Linked DNA regions of Styela clava. The protein of the gene in region 1 interacts with the protein of each later gene in a pairwise test. Links are inferred from orthologs where the notes say so. Each region holds a gene or a part of one and is shown in the gene's direction. Other genes may lie near its edges. The genes, in order: cleavage stimulation factor subunit 3-like and uncharacterized protein LOC120347561.

Evidence for each region.
Region 2: the proteins of cleavage stimulation factor subunit 3-like (region 1) and uncharacterized protein LOC120347561 interact in a two-hybrid assay, tested with the Drosophila melanogaster proteins (2 studies listed by BioGRID). The link is inferred for Styela clava from reciprocal best matches to the Drosophila melanogaster genes su(f) and CstF64.

Annotation. Positions count from the first base shown.
Region 1 is NC_135255.1:8,580,775-8,592,658, reverse strand, and holds the start of cleavage stimulation factor subunit 3-like, read left to right. Parts: upstream 1-6,897; 5' UTR 6,898-7,183; coding exon 7,184-7,213; intron 7,214-7,761; coding exon 7,762-7,857; intron 7,858-7,966; coding exon 7,967-8,062; intron 8,063-11,884. UniProt on the Drosophila melanogaster protein: Essential protein, may play a role in mRNA production or stability.
Region 2 is NC_135250.1:3,969,264-3,981,083, reverse strand, and holds uncharacterized protein LOC120347561, read left to right. Parts: upstream 1-6,321; 5' UTR 6,322-6,700; coding exon 6,701-8,134; 3' UTR 8,135-9,502; downstream 9,503-11,820.

The DNA of each region.
Region 1 (11,884 bases):
GTTTGAAGTGTTATGAAGCAGTAGTTGAAATCATTTGATATTTAGTATGCTGCGGTAGGGATTGGCACAACATAAAACATCATTTTTACATCAGATGGTGCAAGTTTTTGTTTATTACTTTGTTAATTACTCAACTCTTTCTTTCGCATGTCTGGTACATTTTTTTACTTCACTATCAAGTCTGTAATATTTTTATGCTTCGTTTTTGCACAATCATGTCTGCCATTCATCATTATTTCATGTGGTTGAATTATTATTTATGATCAACAGAAATACAACACCAAGCCATAATGAAAAGAAGAATATTGTAAAATCTCCTGAGCATGTTAGAGTAAAAAGAAAATCGTACTTTATTATGGGATTGTTTATTCACCATTTTCTTTATATCACACTTTTTCACATTGTTCTATCAATTGTATAGTCACAACAATCTAGATCAGCAACAGTTCTATTTCACTGATATTGTACAATGTAGCTCATACTGACCGACCACTGTCTGTAAATTATGGGTGGTGAATTTCTATATTTTGTTTTTAATAGAAGTTGATTTCTGTATTCTGGCGAATTTGCAAGTTCTTGTTGAAGTATATTTCATTTATTTGCCTATGTTTATGCTTTGTTACAATGAAATTAATCGCATAACTAAATTTTAGGCTTGGTTTTCTGTTAAAATCCAGGATGTCTGATTATAAGGTTCGCACTGCCACTACTTCTTCATTCATTACCGAATGTTATACAGGGCATCTAACAAATTTTGTTACCGGTATCACATACTTCCCTCGTCAGGTCAGCCAAGTGAATATAACCGCTGCCCGTAGGTTTCAGTCACTCTACACAACTTTAAGTAAGGTAGGCGAACAAAATTAGTTACCTTCGTATTCGTGCACACACTTCTGGAGCGGCCTATTTTCAATAGGGTACCTTGGGAATGAAAGTTCGAACCTGCGAAACCACGCGGGGTAATCAGAGGTGCGCTTGTGAGCTTATTTCTAACGCTTAGCACGAAGCAATACACCGTCATCGCCGATTAGAATTCAAGAGTAAGCAATGGTGCGAATGACCAAAGCGTAAAAGCTTTCAGGAATCGAAATAAAAAAGATAGGTCATCTACGTAACATGAAACCCGCGTCGACGATGGGCGCTGAGAGTTTTAAAGTCGCTTGTCATTCCATTCAGAAGTACGCTGCGCTGGTTCAAAGGTAAATATACCCAGGTGGTTATCGTCAACGAAGCCGCTTGCTTCCTCTACCGCCGACCCCATGCATAATAATAATATAATTTTATTTCGATCTTTCGTCTACAACACAAATAAAAAGAACACAGACAAGGTCAACTGAAAGATCGGGAAAGTGGGCAAAACCTATATAAAGGTTTATAACGAACGCTGTAACCAGCGATTATGCCCATTCACACACGTGAAACACACCAAGACAATCATACTAGAATAAATTAAAGAACAGAGTACATAATCACGAGAAAATAATACATAATCACGAGAAAATAGAATCTAACATTGACTTGTAAGCGGCCAGCTATCATTTCTCGGGACAGATAGGGAAATTATATAATTTGTACACTTGATGCTAGGCGAACTAACTTCGTTCACACGTATTCCAGGTCTAGATTAACCCTTAAACGGAATAACCACGAGCTTAGGGCACTAAGAGAAAAGGGGAGACCACAGAAATTTCCACAGTCAACTTTTCAATGGCGCCTCAGTGTTTAACGAAATAATTCGAGTTAGTCTGACGAGTCAGCCCCAGAGGCGTAGCTTAGGGGGGGCAATGGGGTACATATGCCCCCGGGCGCCAAGGTACAGGGGCGCCAAAATGGGACTTGCAAAAATGTCACAACGAGGGTAAAATACCAGTCACATAAAATAAATCTCACAAGCAAGATTGCACCGGCGGCAGTCTAGTCTTAGTACATGGCCAACTGCACACTTGGTCAGACCACTTACGCCGACGTCATCAGGCACATAGCTCGCGCACGGAAACAAAGCAAAATCTGATTTGGTAACGTTAGGTAATAAAATGCACTGGGTTAAATACGTGGTTCTGTATCGATAAGTTCTTGCCTGCGCACTACGATGTAAGTTGATATAAGTTCTGTGCTGGAGACGAAAAGCAACGGAATTTGGTTTAATGATGTTAAACAGCGAAGTGCTGATAATACATGTTTTGAGTAGTACGTGGTTTTGTATTTCGTGGTAAGCTGCTAAACGTTTCCAGGTAGCCCACGACGCAGACCTTACTTTTGGTGGCAAGGGATTGTTCAGTTCCCGCCTGTCAACAGCATTCATAAAAAGTGTAGTTTATACTTAGCCCTGGGCCTAATATTTATAACAGTGGTTCTTAAACTTTTTCGAGCGCGACCCAAATCTGAGTTTTATGAATACTCGCGACCCAATCCTAAATAACGCAAAATGTGTTTTTAATGTTAGTACAGTTTGACTCAAATACAGACAACTATTTATTAGAAACAGTCCATTGACTCAGTGAGATTGATAAAACTGAAATTTCCTTTTCATTATATCTTCAATACACAGCTCTATTTTACTTAACGCAATACGCAAGTTGTCACGGGTATCGAGGCGATTGCGAGCTTAGTTTTGATAACCGTCAGTGCCAAATATCCTCGCTCGCACAAGTGCCTTGTTGCGAATTGTAGCAGAAAAGGCGTCCGCTGTCCGTCGCAAACACGACATCCTAGCTGGCCTTCGGTATCTCTCGCAATATACAACTTTTTACTCATCAAATGTGCACACACTGCTTCGCTTGCGGTAAATGGTGCCTCGAGATGAAGTCACATTTTCTCTAGATATTGAATAATCTAATGTCGAGAAGCGAGCTTTTTCATTGCGTCGTCTATTACAATTTACATTACCAAAAAGACACCCATTTTTGGTTATTTTAATCGACTAAGACGACATTCCACGCGGTCAACACAACGACAAGCGACGTACATGGTTACCGATACCATAAAAATAATACACGTGACTGGCAAATCAGAATTGTGATGTAACAATGAGCTCAAGACAGTTCTTTCCGTGAATGACATTTTATATTTCATTATTTTTAAATACCAGAGTTTAGAAGCTAAATTGAAACATTGGGAAAGCTGAAAATTCTTCCTTCTCCTCTTAGATTGCCCTTGCATTGATGACCTTGTCGCATTTTTAAACCTTCCGCGACCCATGTTTGGGTCGCGACCCATACTTTAAGAACCACTGATTTATAATGACCACAACGGCATCGCAACAACTCAGTTTGATGCATTGGTGTCTACCAGCCATTGGCTCTTCTTGGTTTTATTGTGTCTTTTGGAGACGACGTTTTCTCGAATATGCGAATTTCTCTACAAATTTTGTTAACAATACCAGTTTCAATTGCAAGCTGTGAACGGTCTTTCAACAAATTTAAACCTATTTTGTCGTAATCGCGTGCATCAATAGGACAGGATAGTCTCAGTGATGTTCTAAGTCAGGGGTCGGCAAACTTTTGTCGTTCGTGGGCCAAAATTAAAGGTTGCAAGTCATTAGTGGCCCGCATATATTTTTAGAAAGTTAAAAAACGAGGGAATGGCCAGTAAATCACATTTTTTCACACAGATTTCAGTTAAATTTCAAGCAGCGCACAAAAACTGATCATTTTCTGCGCCATTAAAGCATTTGCACTCAGCATCAACTTTTTTACGTTCTGTTGCCATTTGTCTATCTATAATCAATTTAAACGAGTGATTGTGAATTATATACTTGTTAGATTATAATATAACTTAGTGTCTCAAAACAAATTCTGTTACGTAAAAAATATAATCGTCAATACAGTTGTTTTGTTAATATAATTTAGTGAAGCGTCGCGGGCCGGATTATATTGTTCCGTGGACCGGATCTGGCCCGGTTGCCGACCCCTGTTCTAAGTGTTGAAAGAAAAACATTGAAAAAAAAAACAGATTTTGATGACGTGATTAACCAGCTTGCGACAGTGAAATCAAGAAAAATAAATTTATTGTAGACTATGTAAATCATCCTTGACAATAACTGAGTGGGACATTATGGACATACTTTGTATAGCTTTGCTTCTTCGTTAAGAGAGAGATTTATTTCCACAAACAATGAAAAAACAGTATTAAATAATATCAATAATTTTTATAGAGTTAGACTATAATGAAAACAATGAAAAATAGTATAAAACAATATCGATGACTTTTATAGAAGTAGTCCAATTTACACATTGTTTTGTGTTAGCCAGTATGCAAGACCGTTGAAGGTCATCAAGGCTCCTGACCAATTTAACACTGTTATTGATTAAGAAGTCGGAATTAATTGTTACAATATAAATATAAAAAAGACGGAGAATGAGTCGGCAGATATTTTAGTTCCACGATTCAACACTAAAAGCACATTGTGATAGAGTTTAGAGGACATGTGTAAAATATATATAATACCAGTGCTACATTGTGATCTAGTACATTACAGATCGCCATAACAGAGTCGGTCTCAGTATAAAATATAAATGAACAGAATAGCACAGACACATTTGCACCATGTTATATAAATATTACGGTAAGACAATTATTAAGTAAAATGTTCCATTAAAATTTGAATTGTTTTACATATACAATTAAATGTAATAGAAAATATGATTAAACGTGGAGGTCGGGGCGCCAATTTTATAGCTTGCCCCGGGCGCAATATATTCTGGCTACGCCTCTGATCAGCCCTCAATATTGTTCCGGTTAAAATAAATTTTGAGATTTTGCTTGTTTTTCTTTCTCAAGTATCATTCTTAAACCTCTATAAATGTTTGTAGGCATGAGAATTATTTCTAAATAATATTATGCAAATGAATCGAAAATGTATACTGAAGTCGTTCCACGTTTGAATAGCATTTCACCGTAACTTCTATAGGCCTTCTGTTAAAAAGCGTCAGTTACAAAGCAAGACTTACACGATTTGGCGCTGCTTTATTATGCTGATAATTCTGTAGGCGTATAATGTTGCGATGATATTGTAGCCAAGTATGAATTTATTATAAAGCACAACAAGCACAAGCTTACGGCACCAGGACAAAGAAAGCACAACAGAAATTTTCATAGTATAGTGCCCAACGACTAACGTACCGATAGTGCCTCGGTGTTTGATGAAAAGATTGCCCGGACGGTTCGGACCTGAATATTAGCCCAGTTGAAATAAATTTTGCTTTTTTTCCCCAGGTATCATTTTAGCCTCATAAATGTATGTACGTAAGTATGAGAACTATTTTCAAAAAAATCATGTAAATCAATCATAATTTGGCCTTTAATCAGTAATGAATACTGACACTTTCATTCAATTTCATATAACATGGAACACTAGTTATTTTCCTATTATTTTTTAAATATACTTATACCTTACATTATATCCCGCGATGTCACTCAACGACTGTATAGCAAAGTAACAAACCCATATGGCGAGTTGTCTCTTTCTCCCTCCGAGCTCGCGATACCGTATCTGTACTCAAACAGATATGAGTGTCTCCAATGGCTGAGAATGAAGTGAATTTATGAAGTTTTAGACTGTCCACCCACTGCCGACCTGTCAGTTTAGACTAGATGAGCAAAGTCTGTACATACATTTTTTATTATCAAAATTGATCAAAGCAAGGTCTGAACTGATACAGCTAAAGTCGCGATACGGCCATACCAATGTCGTAACTGAAATATCGACCTCTTAAATACGATTTTTGGACTTATCAGAACCTTATCCTACACCTTGGGTGTCGCTATTTGATAAACAAAATTCGTTCCCGCGGTTTCCCTTCCCGGCTTTATCGATTACCTGTACAACTGTGTGTGTTTTTAGATTAAAATATTTTATTTCGCCATGCATGAAATATTGTAAACAAATAATAATGAATCGAAATGAATCAAGTCACAAAAATAACCCACAAAGTTTCGCGAGCAGTCGCGAAAGATCGTCCAATAATCGTGTCAGCGACACCCAGGTGCAGGTGGTTTATTTTGTAGTCTTAGATCGTACGTTACGGCAGTGAATACCAAAGTGGTTTATAGCACCTCAATGGTTTATAGTCCTGTAGTCACTTTGGCGAATACGGTACCGGCATTGTCCCGAGGGCCGGGACTTGGAGCTTGCAGAATAGGATTCACATATTTATCCCGGGGGGAGTTGAAAGGCGATAAGACGGCTCAATCACATGGCGAACCACAGCCGAATCCCGAGGTTAAAGCTTGCAGAATAGGATTTACATATTTATCCCGGAGGAGTGGAAAGTCGATATGACGGCTTAATCATATGGCGAACCACAGCCTTTCATCCTGTCACAGTGTTACCTGTTGACTACCAGTCCATGTTTGCAGGTCGGATTCTATAATCAGTTTTATTTATTTTGCTTTTATCAATGTCGACATTTTACCGTCTATTATGCTGATTATGGAGTCTAAATAAACTTATTTTCTGAAGCATGGACTTGATGGTGGAGGAAACTGTAATTACCGGTAACCCGCAATACTCTCGTCTCGCACACGGTATCTGGATATCAAAATATTGCTGTTTGCTGCAACAGTCAGTATTGTGTCATGCTTATTTTGATAATAATTCCAGAATTCAATGAGCGTCCTCCGTCATATCACTGAAATAATAATTTCTTTTGCTAAAAACACTCGTTCTTGGCAAAATCTCCCATCTTATAAGATATCCTGTACGTTTTGAACTTTGCATGTTAGTGTTATGCTGATTATGGAGTTCAAATATACTTATGATACGGTAAATTTTTTTCTTCAGTAAATCGTGCCGACCACACTGTCTCAAAAAGGAGGGGTTTGCATTCACTGTTATAATTGCTGTATTTTAATGTGGGGGACATTTATTGTAATATCGCAATCAAAGAACTGTACTGACTCTTAAACCAATAAATGAACAAGATTATGTCATAATTGAGATAAATTACTTCAGCTTTTCAGGATGAAATGCATTTGCTATCTTTTAAATTTTTGTCTTGGCTTACAGATAAGTATTAATCTATAAACTTAAAGAATATTTTTGTACAACATTATTTAATTTGATTGCTTTCTCCAGAAACTTAAGGTAACAATACTTACAAAAATCTCTATTAATGATTAAAAGCTGATCAATGCAAAATCTATACTTAATTTGTTGTTCAATAAAGGGTTCAAAACATTGAATATGGCAACAAAATCACAATCAGAAGAAGTGGTGAGATATAATGAAAATTTATTATAATGCAATTTCTACTTGGATATCCAGGATATCTTAGAATATTATGCACCTAAACCACAAATCAATTATGGATATCATGCCATAAAACATTTCTGTTTTTCCTAACGAAGTTACACTGCAATTAATAATAGTATTTTAGCAATGGTTTTGAATGTTTTTTTTTTTATCAGCTAATGTTCTTTATAGTGTAATACTGGTATTATGTGATATACTTTCTAAAGTCTTTTATCAGTTTAGTAGTGGGACAACCTGTTAACTTTGATGTTTATTACACATTAAATGTTGTTAAATGATCTATCATCAGACGACATACAGAATATTTCAAACAGTACTAAATATGTCTATGTAAATAGTGATTAGGAACGAATAAGAACTTTTCAGTATGTATAGAATTGTATTCATTGTTCTGTATTGCGTGGTGATAATTATATCATACTCACTATCATTAATAATGCCAAAAAAATTTATCTTTGTACCGCATAACTTGGTATATAAACATGAGGTCCATTTTTCTTCAATTACAGGAGTATGTTCCAGAAAGAATCAGGAAGATAGAAAAGAAATTGGAAACCAGTCCATATGATGTTGAGTCATGGAACTCACTGATTCGTGAAGCCCAGGTACAATCTATATTTTATTACTGAAATTGTGACATTTATCAGATTTTGCAATTTCATTCATTGTTCCAACATATTCTTTGGTACAAGTCTTTTACATTGGATTTTTCAGACAAACTCTATTAACAAAGCTAGAAGAACATACGAACGTCTCGTTTCACAGTTCCCAAGTGCTGGAAGATATTGGAAGATTTATATAGAACATGAGGTGTGGTTTGTAATATTAAAAATATATTTTTTCTGTATTTGTTTGCTTTGTCGTTCTGCAAAGGTGAGACAGATTTAAGCTTTGTTGAGTTCTTTTCAGTTTGAAGGTTCTGCTTAGAAAAGTGGATTGCCTAAAATATAATGTGTTACAAGATCCCACTTAGTTTTGAAAAATTATCTTATTGGAAGTGAATTGTGTCTGGCTGATACTGCTGAAATGCTAAGAAGTACAAACTTATAATCGAGATGGAGACTATGCTGTTCAAACACAAATTAATACTAATTGACATGAGACTTGATGCCGACCAAATATATTGTTGTGTGCAAGTTCCTAAACCCTCAGTTTCTGGTCAAGTCTGAGTCTGAAATTAAAACCAGGATACCATGTCGTGTCAATATTTACTTAGGCATCAACGCGCCTGGTTAAAGTTGCAAAAAGCTAGTGACACTTTAAAGTTTGAGACGAGTCTCTACATTTAGTTGCTTCAAATCTTCGAAAACGGATCAACATTGATCAATGAATCAATTCTGCTTGGCCAGTGGTATTTACATTAGATGTTAGCTAGTGGCCAGATGGCATTCGTGTAGTGAATAATATTTTAGGGAGTTTAGTGTATGATGGTGTTTAGCATGGCTGTTTCATATTCATCTAGTGGGTCTTTGGTTCAGTTTGATGAGACAGAAACATGCCAAGCCACAGATTCGTCGATCAATCGTAGTATGGTATGCAAAAGTCAGATGATGCCGTTAGACTTCTTTACCTCTGCCACAGCTTTACATTATGTAGAGCGAATATGTGATTCTACGACCACACCTTATCAACTTTGATGTGATAATGAAAAATAAGCTGTCAAATGCTTCTACATACATTATCAATGGCGTCTTGGAATTTGTTTGTTTCCTATCCCTTTCTTGTCTTTTGTGAGAAAAGATTTTCTTTGAGAAGTTGTATGGACTTGTTGTGTATTTTGTTGCTGGAAGTTACCCTAGTTTTGAAGGCATAACAAAGTTACTTGCGAGGTCATATTGTGTTCTGTTTTCAACTTGTGCTATTAAGCAAGATCAGAATTATGCTTTATGATATTTGGAATTGAATGCATTTTCTCATTTGCATTCTTTCTGTCATAGTTCTGTCTACAGATTTCTTCGGCCTTTGAAAAAGTAATTTTTCATGGGTGGAGTAATTGTTGGCTATTGTTTTTATTTCATTGGGTTTTTGATGGGCAGCTCAAATTGTCCATCCAGATCCAGTCTGACTAGTCTTTTTGCCATCCTCGTTATGGCTTGGTGATAGTGCTGTAATGTGGTGAATTTCTTCTTTATAGTTCTATCCTTCTTTTTATCAATACAATCTATACAGATGCTTTGATTCAACACTTCATAAGTTATTCCTAACAAAAAATGCTTCACATAAAGATCTTCATCGACTTCATGCATGTTATGTATCAATCCCATTCTGTTTCATTCCCTGCGCGCACTATTCCAGTGGTTAGAGCGTTGAACCTAACTTTGAATCTAAAGATCCTAAGATCATCTGCCATGCTCACCACCTCTTCCAGGATGTAATATATCCAGAGGGTATTGCAGCATATGGAAGATTCGGATTCTTTATGCATATCAATGCTTGTTTTGCTAATTATTAAGGGGTAAAAAACTCCACTATAAAAAGTTGCAGGCAGCATATTGGCGTTCAATCGCTGATATTGAGGAACTTCTATTTAAAAAGATAATATGCTTTCCTGATTGGTTCTTTATGTTTGAATTTGTATCTTCTTTAAAATGCTATCGTTTATGTAGAATTTCGTATCGAGGCAGCTTGGTTTGAAAATTTTTGAGTGCGAGTTACTGTTCAGGGGGAGTTATAGCAGATTTACACTAGTTATTATATACTTACTGTGCCAATAAAAAATATGCACAAAGTGAACATTTATGAACTTAGTTTTTTGCATGTTTTACTGTTTATATATATTTATCTTATGTAGGTTTTATTGATATTAAAAATGTACTTTTTATTACATTTGAATTCTATTATTTGGTTGATAGCGGAAATAACAGGTTCATATGTGACATATATCTGGCGCGTTTATTAATATATAAATATCTAACTATTATGGGATTTACAAAAGCTTGTCTTCTTAGAAGTAAGAGATGGGGGAAATAGGAAAAGTTGTGTTTTCTGGGATGCCAAATCGGGATGGACGTAAAGGGAAAGTTAATTGCCACCATTAAGTGATATGCTGTATGCCTCCACTGTTAGTACCATACGCATAGCCAAGAAGGGGCGATGTCCCACCGAAAAACATTTTTTGACGCAATTTTGCGGCATGAGACATAAATTCATACACATTTTCAAAACCATTTTGCTCTGTTCTTGAACGATATACTGAAAACCGGACATTTCCTGGATTGCTATCAATAATCCTTTCACCTAATGAACCAAACGAGATAGATGGAAATGCGCACTTTTATAACTTTGACAGCGAAGTATGTCTGTAGAGCAGACATGGGCAAAGTACAGCCCGCGGGCTAAATCCGGCCCGTTGGGTAATTCAATCTGGCCCGCCTGATTCTGCCACAGCCAAACTGAAGTCAAATTTTGACGTTTCAGCTAAAATAGCTCAAGCAATTTGTTGCGACTGCGGTTAAATTCAGTTCTGGCATGAGGCTGAAATGTAACTTTCTAAGTCACACTTACATGGCCCGCCAGTCTAAGTGGGCAAAAAAAACTTGCCCCCTCCCTCAAAATTTGGGCTGGCTACACCCTTTGTTAGTATCTTGCAGCATGTCTTTTGCACTAGTTTATTACGATGAAAGTTCTCTATGCGTAAAGTAAAAGTTGAATTCCACTATTGAGTGATATGCTTTGTCCTACTGATGGTACCTTTCTGCTTATGTCTTCTGCACTTGTTAGGTTTATTATGATGAAAAATCCTTTATTCATGCCCTCAAAGTTTAGTCGAGCTCATTAGTTACTTTCAAATAAATAAAATAGTTATCAACAAATTAACATCATATTCATGAAATGAAAAGTGTCAGTGGTCAGGTCCGCATTACGACTTTTAAATTTATTTATTCTTCAAATACGACTTTTAAATTGCCTTCCAGGCTTTATTGTCAAACAATTCACCACGACGAGTTAATACAATACTAGTGATATATATTAAGCCGCTCAAACAAGAGGGGGTAATGTTTGCGATTATGCATCTCGAGTTGGTTGGCGTAACTGAAGAAATACATTAGTATTCAAAATTTCTCACACTCGCTTGTAGGTGGACAGACCCTCAATACTGTGGGGGCTCAAGTCGATTCCCTGTATTTCTTGGTAAATTCGCCTATAAACACTTGTAAAATGCGCGTAATGTTTTTTTTTTCACGGCGGTGCATTTCTCTTCTACGTGTCACATCGCGTGATGCGAACACAATATAATTAGAAACGGACATATATCAATAAGCTGCCCATAACCTCGGTAATAGCCTACATATTGTAAGATTTCAAAGTATGCGGCCAAACTATTTCAATTTTTGCTTGACCAATTTTGAGGCAAGCTAGGGATGCCACTTTTGGATTGACAAATCGAATTGCATCTTTTTCGAATCAGGTTTGCGATTCGGAAAAAGAGAGCATATCACCGCAAAAACAAACATCGAACGGTTTGTGCATGGTTATCGGCGGCGGTAAATCTGCCGAATGCGTTTATGCGTCTGCATATAACGCCAAATTACGGGACGAAAATGAAAACGAAATGACTTTTTACTGATCTGCCGTCATTTATTTCAAGTTCAGCGCTACACATTTTTCGAGATGCGGTGTGGCGTAATTTCC
Region 2 (11,820 bases), on another chromosome or scaffold:
GCGTCATGCGGACAGGGATACCTGACTAACGTGCTAATCACCTACCTCATCTGCCCTACCCTACATAGTGGAAATGCTCATCAGTCGGTCTCCCACGCATAGAATTTTAACTTCCACCTCACGTGCAACGTTTTCTGATTTAGACTGTGCATTCGCACTTTCAGTGCGACAGGTTGCGAGACCATCAAGTCCATGCACTCGAAACAAATACCTGGCAAAGTATTTCCATTAACCGACTTAGACTGGTGGCCAGACGAGAGGCGTGGTTCGCCATATGATTGAGCCGTCTTATCGACTTCATTTTTCCCCGGAATAAAAATGAAAACTTTTATGCTAACGCTACTCAAACGTCCTTGCCAGTTTCCAAAAGCTGTTGACGGACAATTTATAGTACAACGTCTTATATCTTATTATTTTTCAACCCTTTTCCACCTAAATGTAACTGTTAACAGTCTTGGTAGTAAATATTAATATGAAACCAGGCGTCCTATCTTGGCTATCATTGCGGCAATATTTAATGCATTCGAAACGCCTAGAGGAATCTAATTGTATCCGATTTATTTACCATAAACAAGCTCGCGATTTATAACAAATAAAATGCCTTAGGTTTACAAAATACGTCAAATGAAGGACTGTATTTACTACAACACGAAGATTATCGTGATACATTAAAGCACACACTGTGCAACAGAATAATAACATATTATGTTATTCCATTTTTGACTAAAGTTCGAATAAAAGTCAACCATACGGCTAGTAGTTTTCATAGCAAAAGTTTGAACTCGAAACCGATTAAAACAAGCAACAAGTTACGTTCAGCGATGGACTAGCTGTTGAAGCGCCACAAGAAAATTTAAAAGTAATAGATGCTCAATCCTTGATATTTTGGGACTAAACCTGCAACTAGGGCTGAGCATTTTCGAAACACTGGTGTTTCGAAATCGAAACGAAATTTTGCCTTCGAAACGAAATCGAAACGAAACGAAACGAAACACACGTTTGTCATAAACAGTGAAATATGATACCATTATTACCCATGGAATTTAATGTATAATGACATCTATTTTCCACAATTAAATCCACAAAACGATAGCACTGGATGCTAATTCGAGAGGATAAAACGATAATGATAATTCCACGAATGTTTCTGCTCAATGACAAAGCAGCGGCCAAATGGCACCAGGATAATACGAATTACGTCATTGTTAGAGATAGGGCTCGCAAGCAGCATAGCATGGGGCCTCTCAACGTCTCAATGCGGCCCTGCCCTCATCTAATGTAATGGGTGGGGTCATTTTCTACTTTATCCGATGCCACAAATCCTTGTGATCCAGTGTGGTAATTATACAAGGGAAAGCCATAACCGAATACCTGACTATTTCAAATACATTCTGGAAAAACATATTTTTGAATCTTCCGAATTCCGAATACATTCTAAACTCCAGGAACATAGGAATTGGTCTTTTATTGATTGAAATTAGTTATTTTTTTGCTCTAAGGAAATGGACTTGATAAACATTACAGTATTTATGAATTGTGGTGCATCTTGGCAAGCACAGGAAAAAGAACAACTAGGTGGAATGTTTGAATTATACAGTAAAATCAATATTAACTCGGATTTTTGACACGGCTAATTTTCGTTATGACTCTGACTGTTTATCGTCATCGTGACATCGACATCGTTGAGCTAAATTTGATTTGATTTTAGATTTATTGCGCGGTTCCCCAAACTATCTCGACTATGTTGAAATATATCATAATAATTGTAAAATATTTTCAATTAAAAACTTCCTCGACGTGTTATAAGTACTTCAAGTCGACGCTGACTTAAATCCTTTTATGTCGGCAGTAATTTATTGCACCTCGCAAAGAGTGTCTTCGTATACGATAAAACATGAAATTGTAATTGTAAAAATTGTCGATCAAAACGTGGACGGCGGCGCTTGGACGTTTGTGCGATATTTAATATTCTTATAAACACTAAAAACGATATTTGAGAGTCATGATATTCGAATAAATTCGGATATTAAATTCGAATTGGACACTAATTACAGGTTGCATTTGCTATGACGTCATAATATCCGTTTCGAAGGTCGAAACGCCGCCGTTTCGACATATCAGTGTTTCGAAACGTTTCGAAACATTGTTTCAAAACGCTCAGCCCTACCTGCAACGCATACTCGATGAAAATATAGGATTATTTCAAAAACACTAATAAGTTTTATTCTTCACAAATGCAACTGTGAGATAGTTTGCGCGGTAAAAGCGTTAACTTGAATGTACTGGCACCGCTGGTTACATATCCATCTAAATCCCATGTCCTGTCGCTACTAAGGGTGTGATTAATTAGGTAGGCCAGAGATGTGCGACCTTTAATACAGGAGAGTTAGATACAAATGACTAGGTGAAACCGCGGGCCACATCTTTATTCATCTTAGACTTTCTAAATAGTTGCAAGCATAAAATTAATAATTTATTAAAATTTATAATTTAAAACATTTTTATACCTTGTTTTTTTTTAACCGGTGCCTAAATGAATTCACGTTGTCACGGGTATTTTCACAATATACAAACTCACAATTTATGACAATACAATGGTTCACAAAATGTCAAACAAAGGAACATTTGCATGGACCTCTGACATCATTTAATCTAAATACACTTACAACAACATAGGATGAGATAAGAATTTCATATCTATTTTGATTAGCATGATAAATTAACATTCAGAATGTAAAGCGAACACTTGCTCAATCGATTTGAGGTCGAACATAGGTCGCCCATCCGGGTAATCGGTTCCGTGACTTCGTGAAGCTACGAAGCAAGTTCGAGTCTCATGTTATTTGATTCTATTAGGCAGTGTTTCCCAAACATTTTCGGACACTTACACTTCTTTATCTCGCCTTGCGGAACAACAAAAAATGAAAGAATAAAATTTATAAAAAAAAACGGTGCAGTGTTGCGGTTCCTAATGGGTTTGCCGTGGCGAGTTGACAAATGCGCCGCGAAAACTAACAGATTTGTACTAAACATACCTAAAATATGATTAAATATTTTACATATCGTATTTTTATAACTGTTTCATTGTTTCTTAATTTTATTGGTGTGTATATGAATCAATAAAATCATTTTACCTTTCTATACCGTTTACTTTCAGTCAAGCAGTGTTTGCCTCTAATGTTACGTTCAATGGAGATAGAAGTGCTTGCTGCAATTTCGCGAGCTGCAGTTCAATTATCTGCGGAATCTAGTTTGCCTTCATTCTTTAGACCTGCTTGTTTGCCTATAGCAAAACCAAAGGATTACTATAAATTTGGTAATGAACTTAACAATCAAAAAGCTAGACCGACGGTTAACGAAAATGCTACTACCCTACTTTAGTTAGTCATCTTTAAGCCGACGGTGACTCGGTATTAAACGGTCAGTTGGGCTACAATTTCACGATTCTAAGATCGCCATAGAGACCAATTTAGACGTATTCTTGATTTCTTTTCCACGGAACGCTCGGAAGACGCGGAACACAGAACACAGTTTGGGAAGCTGCATTAGAGCAAAAATAGAGCATGTTTGTAAACATTGTCCCGTTTTGGAGGTTTTGCGTTTTATTTATCATATTCCAGTTGTGCTTTCATAAAATATTTGTTACTCGGCTGTTTGGCGCATCGTGCTAAGCGTTAGGAATACGCTCGCCATCGCACCTCTGATTACTCCGCGTGGGTTTATCTGTTCGAATCCAATGCAGATTTAGTTATATGCAATAGGATTCAATCAATCAATCAATCAATCATTTATTTTGGTTCTCTGACATAAAAAATACAAAAAATAAACAGACAAAACAAAGTGCAGAGATACCTGTATGTTGTCCTATTATACCGCAGCAGTCCTAAACGGCTGTTATAAGGGTTAGTAGGGGTGCATGTCGCACATCTGTGTCTTAGGCTAGTAAGGTCTTGAACATGTATTCCCGTCTCTGTTTTACTGTTTAATTATTATGCAGATACTGTTATATTTTTGAGAAAAATAAACATACATACATACGGGCATAACTCAAAAAAGTTAAAAAGCGTACAATGTACGTGTCCGCCCACAAAGCTGCTGGACTTCTCGCCGCCGTAGAGTGGTTCACGTAACCCCTGGTCGGTTACGGCTTCTTCGATCATTAGGTACATGCCTACGAAAACAAATAACTGGCTAACCAACCCATACTCGACATGGGCTGGTAACCGGGCGACAGAACGTGGTTCGCCATATTATTAAGCCTCGGCTTTAATCTCCCCCGGGATAAATATGTAAATCCTACTCCATCTTAATCAACACAAACGCGACCATAGACTAGCCTAAAATTGTATATCAGTATCTGCAAGCGGGACGAGGTTAAATCTTCTAATGAAATTGATGTGAGTGAGTGTTTGTTGAAGTGAGCATGTTTGTAAATTACTCTCTTACAAACAATCTCGAAAAAGCTGTGTAAACTTTGCAATGATAAATTGTAGGGAGAGTTTTTCAGAAGTCAAGGGTCGTGGAAACGTCCAAAATACTAGTTATCCGATTATTTGTTTTATATGAATGAACTATCCAGAATTTTTAATTCAATTGATAATAGCGTGTCATGTATTCATTTCAATAAACGCACACTAGGGTGAGATATATTCGTGCATCTTACATAGTTTTCAAAATAAATTTGTGTTTCGAAATAAAAAAATGTGGCAACCATTATAATAGTTTTCTTTTGAGACGGGAGCGCCATCTTACGATTGTTTCAGCCAAACGAGGCATTTCGCGGTTTCGTCCTTGGCAGAAGAATCGGAAAATTAAGATTGGAATTAGGTTCGCGTAAGTTTGCATATTTTTCATATTTAGTTAGTTATCGTACCGGTATCGTTTATAAAATTATGACGTCAGCATTCAAAATAAACTTATACTTCAGTACTTATTATTTGTCAGTTTGTAGTTTTGGTGCATATTGCAGCGAGCAGGCACATGAAATCTGAAAATAGCAGAATACGTAATGTGAAAGAGTAGCATAAATTATCGAGATCGTTTTGGCATTAGTCGAATAACAGGAGTGGCGATTGTCACTCAGCATTTACAGTTCATAGACGTGTTATCACTGAATTACCATCTTTTCAAGGCTGACGTATCCTTGGCCCAGTCTGTATTTCAGGGCCTTTTTGAACGAGAAATCAGGCGTGCAATCAGAAATTCCCGCGTGCAAATAAGAATTCCTGGCATGCAATTATAGCTCACGTCGTGCAAAACAACTACGCTCGCTGCAACTTACTTTGACATTAGATACCTCTCAATACAGCCGCGTAAAATTACCAGTATCGGATAAAATATACGTTAAATCAGAGGAAAAATGGACGTTTGACCTTTGACCCCCAAACATTATTTCTACAGTTTGAATCAGAGCAAAAAGGACTTATATTGTCAATAATTTTGGAAGTGTTTTTACGTAGAATTATTGTATAAAAAATATGCTGAATCAAAGCCGTATCTGGCCAGCGTCGGTGAGGAGGCGATCTTTTCGCTCATAACTATTCTCATGGGATTCCTATCATTCAACACGATATGGTCTTTTTGCTTAGCATTTTTCGATCAGGCCAAATCTTGCAAGCTAGTATTAGTCGACAATTGTGGAGTTATAATTTTTTGGCATCTTTGTATTACTGGATTATTGATATAAAAACCATTTGAACCGATTTACATTGGTGAGCAATTGCAAATTTTCGCGTGCAAAATTGAATTCGCTCGCGTGCATTTTTGCGGAGCGCTAGCGCCTCACAGATTAAGCATGCTGTTTAATATGAGCTAAACTGATACACACTTCGTCAATGCTTTTGAGTCGTATCAAATATAGACTTTTTGCCTATGTATGGTTTTTCTAATTTTTTTTTACGTTTAATATATATTTACTTTTACTCCTTTGCCTTCGTTATGTGTGAATGTATATTTTAATTAGCTGGTAAAAGACACTTAGTCATCGATATTATAGAAATGTTTTGAAGTACCTGAATTTAATTTATGAATTCCCCCCCGTACCCCACTCAATAATTGAATCGATTCCAATATCAACTCTTACAACTTTTATTTACAATTTAATGTGTTTTTCTATTTTTTGGTTAATGAAGTAGACTCTCACTAATGACAGCCTTTATGATTTCTTTAAAATTTTCAAGCTTTGTATTACGGTGAGATTGATAGAGTGCCCTGTTTATGATCCTCATCAGTATTTTGTTTTGGACTTTTTCCCTATGTTTATCTCATATAATAGTTTATATAATTTTGCAGATTGCATAAGGTTTTACTCTTGGTGTTCTATTAAGATAATATTTTCTCCTTGAGATAATCCTCTTTTACAACATTCGCTTCCTATATTTAATGCATGGGACTTACAGGAACCTTGGATTATATTCTCTTGAATTTTAATTGCTGAAAACTACCTAAATTAAAACTTTTTGTACATGAACTGAGCTAAAACTATACTGAACTTCTCCAAGCCAAATCTTTATCTATCTTTCTATCTATAATTTCTTCATAGATGCACTATTTTGTTTGTTTTACATTTAATATATAAGTTATTATAGCAAGTTCTTAAAACGTCACTATTGAGAGTTTGTTTTTAAGTTCAATTAAATTTGAATTTCTTTATGTCCCAGCCTAAAATTACCTTTTTAAATACATTTGCAAAAGCGTGAGGATGAATCGAGACCGGGATTTGATTGATTTGGAAAGATCTTCAAGATCAGTTTTTGTGGGAAATATTCCTTATGAAGCAACTGAAGAGAGTCTAAGAGATATATTTTCAGAAGTTGGTCCGGTTGTCAGTTTTCGTCTCGTTTTTGACCGAGAATCTGGGAAACCAAAAGGTTATGGATTTGCTGAATATCAAGACACTGAAACAGCGATGAGCGCTATGCGAAATTTAAATAATCGCGAACTGCATGGCCGTTCGCTGAGAGTTGATCATGCTACAAGTGAGAAAAATCGAATTATGGAAGATTTAGGTCAAATGGGCCCCATAGGCCCACCGAGAGAAAGCCCATATGGTGAACCTGTCCCATCCCGAGATGCACCAGAAGCGATTAGCAAAGCAGTTGCCAGTTTACCGCCTGAACAAATGTTTGAACTTATGAAACAGATGAAACAATGTATTCAAAATAACCCAGTTGAGGCTAGAAATATGCTTTTACAAAATCCACAACTTGCTTATGCCTTGCTACAAGCACAAGTGGTTATGCGTATTGTGGACCCAGAAATTGCAATGAAAATGCTTCATCGACAAAACCCAGTTCCTAATCTTATTCCTGCAGGGGAACCATTAGACCGACCGGTCGATGGTCGATCGAATGGTGACCCACCTGGCAGAAGTCCGTATGGAAATCGTGAACCTCCTCGCAGAATGATAGACGAACCCATGGATATACCAAGGCGACGAGACGGGTCCCCACCACCTCGAATGCTACCACGCCGCGGACATCCAGATGACCGAATGCCCATGGATATTCCTATAGATAGAGGGCGTGGTGAGCCAATGGGTATAGGTCCTCGTGACCATCCTATTGATCGAAGAGGCCCCCCAATGGGTCCAAGAGGAGATAGAGGGAGGCGTAGCCCTGAGCCGTTTGGGCGTGGCCCGTTTGGAAGAGAATTCCCAGATAGGGGCATGGATGCTATACCAGGTATGGGTGGGCTGCCCATGGATCGTGGACCACCAATGGACAGGGGTCCCCCAATGGACAGAAGACCACCAGATCGGGGACCTATAGATAGAGATGGACCACCATTTCACGACCGAGGTGGCCGATTGCTTGATCAAAGAGGAGGATCATTGGAACGTAACAATGTACCGGGTCCAAGTCGTGATCGTGGGTCATCGTTAGAACGGGGTGGTGGCGACCCTCGAAGGGGACTGGGGCCACAACCTGGTCCCACAAGTGGGGCAGCCCCTCCACCCGCCGCATCAGGGCCTGCACCTGCAGGTGCCCCTGACCCTAATAACCCTGACCAAGAAAAGGCAGCGTTGATAATGCAAGTATTGCAACTCACTCCAGAACAAATAGCTATGTTGCCAGAAGAACAAAGAAAGAGTATCATGATTCTCAAGGAACAGATCACTGGAGGGCGACAATGAGCATTGAATTTGCTCTGTAGACTTCAATGGAAATTAATCTTTTTGGGAGACTTTAGTGAAGCCAGGTGGATTTGCGGAAAATTAACCATCTGGTTTAAAAAAATTTGGCTTTGTGTTTAAAAAATTTTACTTTTATTTTGACTCCAAGACAAAACTCTGAGAAAATCAAGTTTTGATAAAAAGAAAAAATTTTGCGTATGCCAACCTTCTTTAAAGGCGTTAATAAGAATGCTTAGTAAATTTGATGTCCTTTAATATTTTTTTTTAAAAATTCTGATTTTGGAAGACTGAAATTAGAATTTCAACTATGAATCCCGAGAATCGGAAAACTAGACTCTGGCTTTGACTATAGCGATAGCGACATACCAAACTTCAACTTGAAGCCCTGGTTTAAGCTTCTCTGTATTTTGGTTTGGGTTTTCGATCTTTTCTGAAACTTTAGAAAAGAGAGTTGTTATCTTAGGTTTAATCGAAAAGCGTACACAATCGATCGTATATGGTGCTTTTGTTGATAATAAATAAAGCACAACCGGTGTTAGCAAAACGATATACGGTAATTTGCTGATGTTTCGGCTGTTTTGCTAGCACCGGTGGTGCTTTATTTATTATCAACATGAGATTACCTGGTGGCAATCATGCAGTATATGGTGCTTTGTTTGATTAAGTGCTGTTTGGGAAATTTGAATTCAATTCAGTTTAACTGAACCTTTTTATGTGGGGAAAAATAGGACTTTCAATTTTTCTAGTCGAACTCGAATAAACTTTTGTTTTTTGAAGGTGAGAGAGAACAGCATTTTCAAACAGTAAAACGTACAGTAATCAATCTATATAGTGCTTTGTTGGATGTATTGTTATGTTTGAAAATCTTTTGATTTGACTCGACTGTATTTTTTGTGTGGCAAAAGGTTCCACTTTTGATCATTATTGAAATTAGAAAATAGCATTCGATTTTTTTTTAAAGAGATTGGACGTTTTTGTTATCAAGAAGGCAGAGTAATCAATCATATATATGGTGCTTTGATGTTTTTTTTGTTATTAAATGTGACTTGAATGCACCTTTTTCTGTGCGGAAAAAAGTTGGTTAATTCAATATTGATAATTGTTATTTTTTTCTTGTGTTTAACAATCATTTATAAATGGTGGTCGAGGGATTCATCACTACTTTTGGTGAATTGACTGAATTAGCATTAGAATTTCAAAGAATTCAGCATATGCAAAATTTTGAAATAAGAATGTTGCATAAATGGGTATTTCAGATCAAATTTTGTTCTTGTTTTGTTGAATTGGATGTGTTGCAGTCAAAGAGAGAGAGATTTTATTTTTTTGTCAATCGAAATAAAATAACAGTCATCATAATAACAAACAATAGTACTATACAGCAAATTAGTTTGGAATAGACAAGAGGGAGTTATACGACCAAGCAGCCATCAGAGATGTTAAAAGCGAATTCAATTTCCAAATACATTTCCTTATTTCAGTATAGTAATTTATTGATTTCAGCGATAAGTCAAAATATTCTCATTCGTGGGTTCATTATTTAAAGCGTATAACATTCGCTCAATTACTGACACTGTAAAACAGTGGTTCCCAACTGCAGGGCACAGAGCAGTTGCTGCGGCCACCATGCCAGGTGCATAACTAATTTTACCCTTGCTAGAAAACTCCCCTTTCTGCCTTGTTTCATTGTTTGATAGGTTATTTCACACAGTGTTTTCACTTGGAGCATGAATTGGAGTTTGAACATAATTGGACTCGGAATCTACCAATCAAATAACGCTATAAATACCACTGGAGTCATAAATGGAGGGGGGGGAGGAGGGTGGCACGAAAGGTTGGGGACCGCAGCTGCAAAAATAGGAAATCTACAATTCCGGATTTGAAATGATTTGTGCAAATATCCCTGTTGGCATGTATTTGATATTCGGTATTCAAAAAAACATTTTAGATGTAAATAGTGAACTCACCATTTTTGGCCATTGTTGGTTTAAGGTATGTGATCTGATTTGCTCATCAATCTATAACTAATTTTCATTATATAGCACATGAAAAATGAACGCTTGACAAGTCCATGAATCTGAAACAAACAAGAGAGCTACGCCCAAATATAGGGACACGTCTGTTCGCAGTACAGTACGGTGTACCGTACCGTCAGATCACAATCTACAAATATATTCACACCAAGCGAAGCAGTACAGTAGGACACAAAATGGCGTCCGATATCCGCAGAACGTTTAATGACGTCATAGCAAACAAAAACGAATCTCACAGAGCTAACAGAAATATTTAAAATGAATAAAAGTAATAGCCTTCTGGTGAAAAATTTTATCTTCAACCACTGAAAATGTCAAAGCAATTGGTCCAGTATTCAAAGAGAAAAGCGGTTTATTCTGTGTCAAATAACAACAAGAACAAGAACAACATAATATTGAAACGATCGTTATGCCCACTACGTGTCCAATAACTAACCCCATACCGAACATGGACTGATAACTACTAGAAGCCGTGGTTTCCCGTCTTATCGACTTCCTTCTCCTCCAGGATAAATATGTAAATTTTATCCTAATCCTGATCTAGCTCGCGTAGGTTTGAAACAAGTTTGTTCCTGCTGAATTTGCCATATCTTAGGATAGGATAGGATTTACATATTTATCCCGGGGGAGAGGAAAGCCGATAAGACGGCTTATCCATATGGTGAACCACGGCCTCTCGTCCGGTCACCATTCCAAGTCGGGTATGGGATTAGTTATACTGTATTGTTTTGTTTTCGGAAGCATGGACTTGGTGGTGGAGGAAGCCGTAACCGACCAGCGGTTACGTGAACCACCCAACGACGGCGAGGAGTCCAGCAATCCTCTCGCACATAACCATCCCTGCATGGGACTCGAACCTGCGAACCCACGCAGAGTAGTTAGAGGTGCGGTGGCGAGCGTATTCCTAACGCTTAGCCCGTTGAGCCACACCGCCGCGCCATCTTGGGTGCGTTTATTTGCAAAAGAACTAGCTGATAAACTAAAATTAGAAAACGCTTACTTGTATTAGTGATATATAGTGAGTATTTTATTTGGCCTGTTCCGAATAATCGACTAGGGTCGTGGCGGAAAAATAGAAAGGCAACGGAAATCTCTTGTGAGCTGGTGAAGCAAACGACAATTTTGAATGTTAACGTAGATAAATTTGTACCAGGGATGTGGCGTCGAGGAAATTTAGATTTTTTTTTTTACACCGATCTTTAAAAAAGTTGACTTCAACTTTGGAAAAATAAAATTATGATGGCGAAAGTATTGGCGTATGTCAGTTTTTTATTACGATACTGAGAACGCCATAGTAAACTTAATGATTTTTCATTTTCTGTAGTAAATTTGAAACCTAGTATCAACATTGAAAGTCTAAAATTCCGACTTTGTACCGGGGCTGCAAGGTCTTCGGATTGTAAAATAGTTGACTCCAGCTCTCAAATCCGAGAAAATATAAGTTTTGATGACAAAAGCCTCCTTTGTTAAAGAAAGTCTTGGTAAACCTAATGCTTTTTGAGTTTATGTAGACAAATTTTCAATTTATATATATATATATCACCATTGAAATTCAGACTTTGGTGACCTCGCTATTCCGTTCCGGGGAATTTGTAAATACGACTCCAAAATCGACTTCACAGCTTTGTACGGCAGACTTGGGCGTACTGACATTAA